2 linked regions of the Arabidopsis thaliana genome follow. The protein of the gene in region 1 interacts with the protein of each later gene in a biochemical or structural test. Each region holds a gene or a part of one and is shown in the gene's direction. Other genes may lie near its edges.

Evidence for each region.
Region 2: the proteins of FH (region 1) and NFS1 form a complex in vitro, tested with the Arabidopsis thaliana proteins (one study listed by BioGRID).

Annotation. Positions count from the first base shown.
Region 1 is NC_003075.7:1,422,536-1,426,435, reverse strand, and holds FH (frataxin-like protein), read left to right. Parts: upstream 1-1,663; 5' UTR 1,664-1,677; coding exon 1,678-1,895; intron 1,896-1,984; coding exon 1,985-2,057; intron 2,058-2,154; coding exon 2,155-2,202; intron 2,203-2,301; coding exon 2,302-2,396; intron 2,397-2,621; coding exon 2,622-2,751; 3' UTR 2,752-3,198; downstream 3,199-3,900. Other genes in the region: AT4G03250 (Homeodomain-like superfamily protein), read right to left, coding at 101-706, 790-897, 1,377-1,386; AT4G03230 (G-type lectin S-receptor-like Serine/Threonine-kinase), read left to right, coding at 3,608-3,900. UniProt on the Arabidopsis thaliana protein: Promotes the biosynthesis of heme as well as the assembly and repair of iron-sulfur clusters by delivering Fe(2+) to proteins involved in these pathways.
Region 2 is NC_003076.8:26,294,188-26,298,598, forward strand, and holds NFS1 (nitrogen fixation S (NIFS)-like 1), read left to right. Parts: upstream 1-1,837; 5' UTR 1,838-1,870; intron 1,871-1,890; exon of another isoform or gene 1,891-2,002; 5' UTR 2,003-2,161; coding exon 2,162-3,523; 3' UTR 3,524-3,885; downstream 3,886-4,411. Other genes in the region: HSL2 (HAESA-like 2), read left to right, coding at 1-786, 874-1,253. UniProt on the Arabidopsis thaliana protein: Catalyzes the removal of elemental sulfur from cysteine to produce alanine. Supplies the inorganic sulfur for iron-sulfur (Fe-S) clusters.

The DNA of each region.
Region 1 (3,900 bases):
AAGAAGATGGTTTTAGCTTCTCTGAGCCACTTACTCAATACTCATAACATCATAAACCAGAAAATTAAAGGTAAAGTTGAAACATTTTATCATGACTCACCGTGAACTATAGGATTAGTCTGAGGCTCAAATGCACCGGGAGGAAGAGGATCAAATTCAACCCCCAGAGGTGGACCATCCTCTTGGTATTGTCTTCCTAATTGTCTCTTTACGGCAGTGATAGCAAAATTCTCACTCTCTCCCTTCACTTTCAAGTATCCCGAAGGCTTATTATACCCATAGCTTCTCATGAACTGAGGATGCTGAATAACGTCTTTATGTGCAACATATCTAGAACTTTCCACATCGCGAATTCCATCTTTGCTAGAGACAAGATTCTTACGTAATGATGAGCTACGATCAGAAGATGTACTATCTTCACCATCAGCATTTCCCATATAAAGCCTTTGACTTTCAACTTCCCTAGGCTTGGGGTTCCAATAATCCGTTTGCTTTGTACTACCACATGAATCCTGTCGAAGCCCACTTCCACGATCCTGAAGAACAACGCTTGACCGATCTTGGCTCCCAATGGCATTCCCATCTTCTTTTACATGACGTTTGTCTTTTAACCTTCTATGGCAGAACCAACCTGAAACTTGCTTCTCAGTTAATCCAACTTCCTCTGCTAACTTGCCCTTCATTTCTTCAGTCGGATACTTATGCTCTGTAGAAAAACCAAATCACACCTGTAAAGCATATACAACTTGGTATAAAGGAACATATGCAAACAACAAAGCCATAATTTACCATTGTAGAAATTCTCAAGCGCCATAACTTGCATAGGAGTCTTAAGCTTCCGTTTTTTGCTGTTTTCTGTAGAAGCTTTATCGCCATCAGCGGTCGCTTCGCCTGAATCTATCGAAAATAGCACATAAAAATCAAAAACATAAGAAGATAATAGTGAAACACGGACACCATTCAATAACCAAGAGATGCAAAGCCCTGACCAAAATCAATTTCATTTTACAATCATGCTTTGTGTATTTAGAAATGTTGCTAGTAATTCCGAAATTCAGGTAAAACATCTACACAAGCTTCACATAAAAGGGTTTAATTTCAGAATTATGGCTCTTTCTCTCATCAGCCAAATACTTCTAAACCCAATCAAAACGAACGAAAACTTTGGAATTCCTTAGCTTGAATAATTAGTAGTACCATAAAACAAACCAAAAAAGGCTTAAAATTTCCAATGCCATTGATGAATTTCGCTAATTAAAACTACAAAAACTGGGAGTTGCATTGTAATTCGACGAACTCGGGATCATTAAAAACTATTCTCTCACGTAAACTCGCAGGAAGACAGAGATTGAAATAGAGGAAAAAACGAATTTCACCTGAGTGCATAGCGAAAATTCCCAGAGATTGAAGGAACAAAACCTAATCAGCTCCCAAAAACCCAGATTTTTTTCTTTCTCCTTCTTCAAAATTCTGGTTTTTTCTTATGAGAGGAGAAGAAAACTCTTCTTCGCACACAAATGACAAATCTCTTGAGAACCATACCGGTTTCAGTAAACCGGAACATGGGAAATACGTGAACCGGGTAAATCTAAATTTGGGCCTTATTGTGGGCCTAAATTGGACAACGAAGGAATAAGAAGAAGAGAGGCGTCGAATGTTTCTTGTGACAGAACCGCCATGGCTACAGCTTCAAGGTTTCTTCTACGGAAATTGCCGAGGTTTCTCAAGCTGTCTCCAACTCTTCTCCGTAGCAATGGCGTAAGAGTTTCAAGCAATCTGATTCAAGATTCCATAGAACCGTTGGATTCCTTCTGGAGAATAGGATCTCGAATCCGCCATGATTCTTTGACTACCAGAAGCTTCTCTTCTCAAGGTCCTGCTTCTGTCGATTACAGGTACTTTAATATTCTCCATTTTGATCTCCTTTATTGTATCTGAATCGTTAATTTCATGAGAATATGAACAAAGTGGAAGAAAAAAACAGTTCGGTTTTGCAGGAGGAAGAGTTTCACAAATTAGCCAACTTCACAATTAATCACCTTCTTGAGAAAATTGAGGTATTTGAAGCTGGAACCTTTTTCTCTCTAGGGTTCTTCGTTTTACTTGAGATTGCAATAGCTTACACTATGTTCTACTTGCATGATTCATGTTCAGGATTATGGTGATAATGTTCAGATTGATGGTTTCGACATAGATTATGGGGTAAGGATTAAACTCTTTTAAGCAATTTAAGATCTTGTTCATATTTCTGGAAATCTATGTGTACTTATTATAGTCAGTCCTTTTGGCTGTTTCCAACAGAATGAAGTTCTTACCCTTAAGCTTGGATCTTTAGGCACTTATGTACTGAATAAGCAAACTCCAAATCGACAAATCTGGATGTCTTCACCTGTGAGGTAAAGATTCTTTCTTGCCTTTTGAAAGTTGCTAACTTTAGGCGCCTAGATTGAATTTCGCATCTGGATTATCATGTTCTGCTCTCTCTTCTGATTTTTGTACTCATGATATTTGGAGAAATGAAACTGTTTATGACTGTATAGTGTTGTTGCTCTTGACTTTGTGCTTCCACATCTTAGATTCACATTAATGTAATCTTCATTCTTCCTTTTGTCTCGGTGCAGTGGCCCTTCTAGATTTGACTGGGACCGTGATGCTAATGCGTGGATATATCGGCGAACTGAAGCAAAGTTGCATAAACTCCTGGAAGAGGAGTTAGAGAATCTATGTGGTGAACCAATCCAACTCTCATAAAGAAGGCTTTAAAACAATATTTGTGAGCGAAAGGGTTTCATCTATGAACTTGAAACTGCTATACCCTGTTAAAGGTATATCTATGAAACATCCAGAGGAATAAACAAACAAGGCAGAAGACAAAGTTGTTTTAGTGTGAAAACTGATTAGTGTTTCTGAATCTATTTTTAAACAGTAATGTCTCATAGTGACATTGTTGCAAGTCTCTTTGTTTAATCAGAGCTGAAGCTGCCTTTTACAGGTTTACGCGTTTTAGATGAAAACATTTCTTTTGAACGACAAAAGTCCTACATTTGTCAAAACTCCTCGAATCTCACAATAATTTCGGAAAAAAGTTGGTTAACAATGTTTGCAGGGTCAATCTCCACTTCTTCGAAAGCACCAATAAGGACAAAAGATTGACTTCTTCAACATCATTGTCCCCTTTTTCCAGTAATTCACGTTTAGGTACCCCTATGTCTCTCTCATTGTCAAAAAATACTCTAAAAGTACGTATTATTCAAAAAATGTTGGATCTTTTTGAACTATTTAGAGATCCATCGCGGAAAAAGTTGACACAAAGTGCGTGAATTGGTCACATGTGTATCTACATACAGTGGCTAAGAGAGTGTAAATAGTATCTACTACTTTCATGGCTTTTGGTTCAGATGCTCAAGTGAGACTTGTTCTGCTTTTTCTTGGAAACATCTTAAAACACATGATTAGCTGCGTTCCACATATTTACTTTTCAGGTGGGTCTTTCGTTGACGTTGAGGCAAACTTTTTCTTTTTTCGTTAGACACGTTTTGAGTTGAGTTCTTAAGCAGAAATAATGGAGATATCAGATGAGTAAAAAAAAGCTAGTACTGGTCAGAGAATGATTCTTTCTGTCTTCTTCTATATGTTTTTGCTGCATATTCGTCGATTAGATTGTTTTGTTGCAGTTCAAGACTCCAAAACATTGTTCAAAGGTTCAACATTGATCAATGACAGCCATGGAGAGACTCTTGTTTCAGCTGGTCAGAGATTTGAGCTTGGCTTCTTCACTCCTAATGGAAGCTCCGACGAAAGAAGGTACTTAGGGATTTGGTTTTACAATTTACATCCACTGACTGTTGTCTGGGTTGCAAATCGTGAATCTCCGGTTCTTGACCGTTCCTGCATTTTCAC
Region 2 (4,411 bases), on another chromosome or scaffold:
GTTTCTTAGGTAACCCGAATCTCTGTGCCCCAAATTTGGATCCGATTAGACCTTGCCGATCCAAACGGGAAACCCGGTACATTCTCCCAATCTCAATCCTCTGCATCGTTGCACTAACCGGAGCTTTGGTTTGGCTATTCATCAAAACCAAACCGTTATTCAAGAGAAAACCGAAACGGACCAACAAAATAACCATCTTCCAGCGGGTCGGGTTCACGGAGGAAGACATATACCCGCAATTAACAGAAGATAACATAATTGGGTCGGGCGGGTCGGGTTTGGTTTATAGAGTGAAACTCAAATCAGGTCAAACGCTTGCGGTGAAGAAACTCTGGGGAGAAACGGGTCAAAAAACGGAATCTGAATCTGTTTTTCGATCCGAAGTAGAGACGTTGGGTCGGGTCAGACATGGAAACATCGTGAAACTTCTTATGTGCTGCAACGGCGAGGAGTTTCGGTTCTTAGTGTACGAGTTCATGGAAAACGGCAGCTTAGGTGACGTTTTGCATTCGGAGAAAGAACATCGTGCCGTTTCTCCACTTGATTGGACGACACGATTTTCGATCGCGGTTGGTGCTGCTCAAGGACTTTCTTATCTACATCATGACTCTGTTCCGCCTATTGTTCACCGTGACGTCAAAAGCAATAATATATTGTTGGACCATGAGATGAAGCCACGTGTCGCCGATTTCGGTTTAGCTAAACCGTTGAAGAGAGAAGACAATGATGGTGTCTCCGATGTTTCAATGTCTTGTGTTGCTGGATCCTACGGCTACATTGCTCCGGGTTCGAATTCTTAGCTCTACAATATCAAATCGTTAAAACCCTATACGCAAGCGTTTTAGTAACATTACTGTTCTTCTGTGGATGCAGAATATGGTTATACGTCAAAAGTGAATGAGAAGAGCGATGTCTATAGCTTCGGGGTGGTTTTACTCGAACTGATTACGGGAAAAAGACCGAACGATTCGTCTTTTGGGGAGAATAAGGACATTGTTAAGTTTGCAATGGAAGCAGCTTTGTGTTACCCTTCTCCATCAGCAGAAGACGGAGCCATGAATCAAGATTCACTTGGAAACTATCGAGATCTTAGCAAGCTTGTTGATCCAAAGATGAAACTTTCGACGAGAGAGTATGAAGAGATAGAGAAAGTTCTTGACGTTGCATTGCTCTGTACGTCGTCTTTTCCTATCAACAGGCCGACCATGAGGAAAGTAGTAGAGTTGCTTAAAGAGAAGAAATCACTAGAGTGATATTAATCCTAGGCTTTTAATTATTAGGCTTCTATAATGTACAAAATCCGACTAGGATTGTTACTCATTATTATAGCCATAGGTTGGACTTTGCTTTAAAGTTTGGGTTTTTAGAAATTAAACTACTTAAAGTTTGAACCAAAAAAAAACAAAGGAAAACTACCTGAAAACTTTTGTTTTCTTGCTTCACAAGACTCTACAGACTTCAAATTTCATATATAAAAGGATAATTCAAATGGTTCCGGATGAAAATTTCCTTTTGTTGATGTTTTCAGTATAGTTATAGTCTCTTACTTAGTAAGTTAGGTTTATGGTTTTTATTTAATTATCAAATTCGTCACAACTTTGCTTTCTTAGATCCAAAAATTCGTCTAGCTATAGTTCAAATTGGTTAAAGCTGCTGATTCTCAGAGTTTTTTTCTAAATTCCTATGTCAGGATTAGGAAATAGCTTCAAGTAGTAGTTTTTGTTCGTCTGGCATGTAATTTCTGATTGAATTGTTATTTGTTGGTATGTTGTAGATCAAAGCGGATAAGGTGTATTCGATATGTAGACGAACTTTCACGGTTTTTAATTGGCGATATGGAGACTCTATTTTCACCTTTTTAGTGGACCAGGTTAGACAAATATACAAGAGCCTCTTAAAGAAAAAAATAAAAATAGTATTGGGCAACTTATAGGCCCATTATGTATATTAACAGGCCAGTTTCTCATAGGCTTTTGATACTTTCATGGACTCGAAAATTTAGGGTTTCAGAGACGACCACGTTACCACCGTCATGAAACCGCCAGTGACCGTAACATATTCACCTCTCGCATCTTCTTCTTCTTCACGGAGAAGCAATCGAAGAGAATCAATCAACTAGACAAAAATCGGAAGAAGAAACACAAACCGAGGTTTTAGAAACATGGCGTCTAAGGTAATCTCTGCCACAATCCGCAGAACCCTAACCAAACCACACGGCACTTTTTCCCGGTGTCGCTACTTATCAACCGCCGCTGCTGCGACGGAGGTGAATTACGAGGATGAATCGATTATGATGAAAGGAGTTCGAATTTCAGGTAGACCTCTTTACTTAGATATGCAAGCGACGACTCCGATTGATCCTAGAGTATTCGATGCGATGAATGCTTCACAGATCCATGAGTATGGGAATCCTCACTCGCGAACGCATCTCTACGGCTGGGAAGCTGAGAACGCCGTCGAGAACGCACGAAACCAGGTCGCGAAACTGATCGAAGCTTCACCGAAGGAGATCGTATTCGTGTCCGGTGCAACGGAGGCGAACAATATGGCGGTGAAAGGAGTGATGCACTTTTACAAGGACACGAAGAAACATGTGATAACTACACAGACTGAGCATAAGTGTGTGCTTGATTCGTGTAGGCATTTGCAGCAAGAAGGATTTGAGGTAACTTATTTACCTGTGAAAACTGATGGATTGGTTGATTTAGAGATGTTGAGAGAAGCTATTAGGCCAGACACAGGGCTAGTTTCTATTATGGCTGTGAACAATGAGATTGGTGTGGTTCAACCTATGGAGGAGATTGGTATGATTTGCAAAGAGCATAATGTTCCGTTTCATACTGATGCTGCTCAAGCTATTGGGAAGATACCTGTTGATGTTAAGAAGTGGAATGTTGCTTTGATGTCTATGAGTGCTCACAAGATCTATGGACCGAAAGGTGTTGGTGCTTTGTATGTGAGGAGGAGGCCGAGAATCAGGCTTGAGCCGTTGATGAATGGTGGAGGTCAGGAGAGGGGATTGCGTAGTGGTACGGGGGCTACGCAGCAGATTGTTGGGTTCGGGGCTGCTTGTGAGTTGGCTATGAAGGAGATGGAGTATGATGAGAAGTGGATTAAGGGGTTACAGGAGAGGTTGCTGAATGGGGTTAGAGAGAAGCTTGATGGTGTTGTGGTGAATGGTTCAATGGATAGTCGATATGTAGGGAATTTGAATTTGTCGTTTGCTTATGTTGAAGGAGAGAGTTTGTTGATGGGATTGAAGGAAGTTGCAGTGTCTAGTGGAAGTGCTTGTACTAGTGCGAGTTTGGAGCCTTCTTATGTGTTGAGAGCTTTGGGTGTGGATGAAGACATGGCTCACACTTCGATTAGGTTTGGGATTGGTAGGTTTACCACGAAGGAAGAGATTGATAAAGCGGTCGAGCTTACGGTTAAACAAGTTGAGAAGTTGAGGGAAATGAGCCCGCTTTATGAAATGGTTAAAGAAGGTATCGATATCAAGAACATTCAATGGTCTCAACACTGATTCAACAGTTCCACTCAAACTGTGCGGGACAAGAGGGAATCTCCAGTCTGTGGTCAGCCGGGGTATATGAGAGCCATACTGAGATGTGAGTATGAACGATGATATGATCCTGTGTTCTTACTATGTTCTGTTGGTAAGTTATCTATCTATATTGCTTTCTAGAGAGAATTGCATGTGAGAGTTTCTTGTGTGGTTTTGTAATAAAACAGAAACAAAGGTTCATTTCTGGTTAGATTGTGATATCCTTTGAAATTGAATGATTAATTTTTAGGTGTTGTGAGCTTAGCTTTTTTAGCTACGGTAATGGTGAAGTTTGTTTTGTTTTTCTTCTTATTTATGAAAATAAAATACAATTTTATGTGAATATTTTTTTTATTCCTCTTTTCTCACTCTCTAAAAATGTCGGCGAGTCTCACTAAGATGTTGAAGTAACAAAACATGAAATGAGAAATGAAATTAATGTTCTTACCTTCATGTTAAGTTGAAGTAGATCATAATTATCCCATGTGATTTGGTACCAAAGTTTTTTTTTTCAGATCTACGTACACTCGAGTCGACCTTTGCTATGAACTCAAATATGATCCAATAAAATTTTATATTCTTCTGTGTTTTTTTTTTTTGTATTCAAATTTGGATAGAAACAAGTATTTAGTAGGTCGTAGGTGCCATAGGTGGCCCTTGGGAAACATCCAATGGATACAAACCTCATATTATAAATTCTCTATGCCAAAATAATTAGGACCATAGGTTATGTTATGTACCTCAACCATCCTTTGATTGAGACATTAAATTCCTTCACGTTTGTAAACCACACTTTCGTATACATTTTCTTCCCTAACACTTCTTGGCACTGTTTCTTTTATTAATTTGATTTTTGAAACATATGTC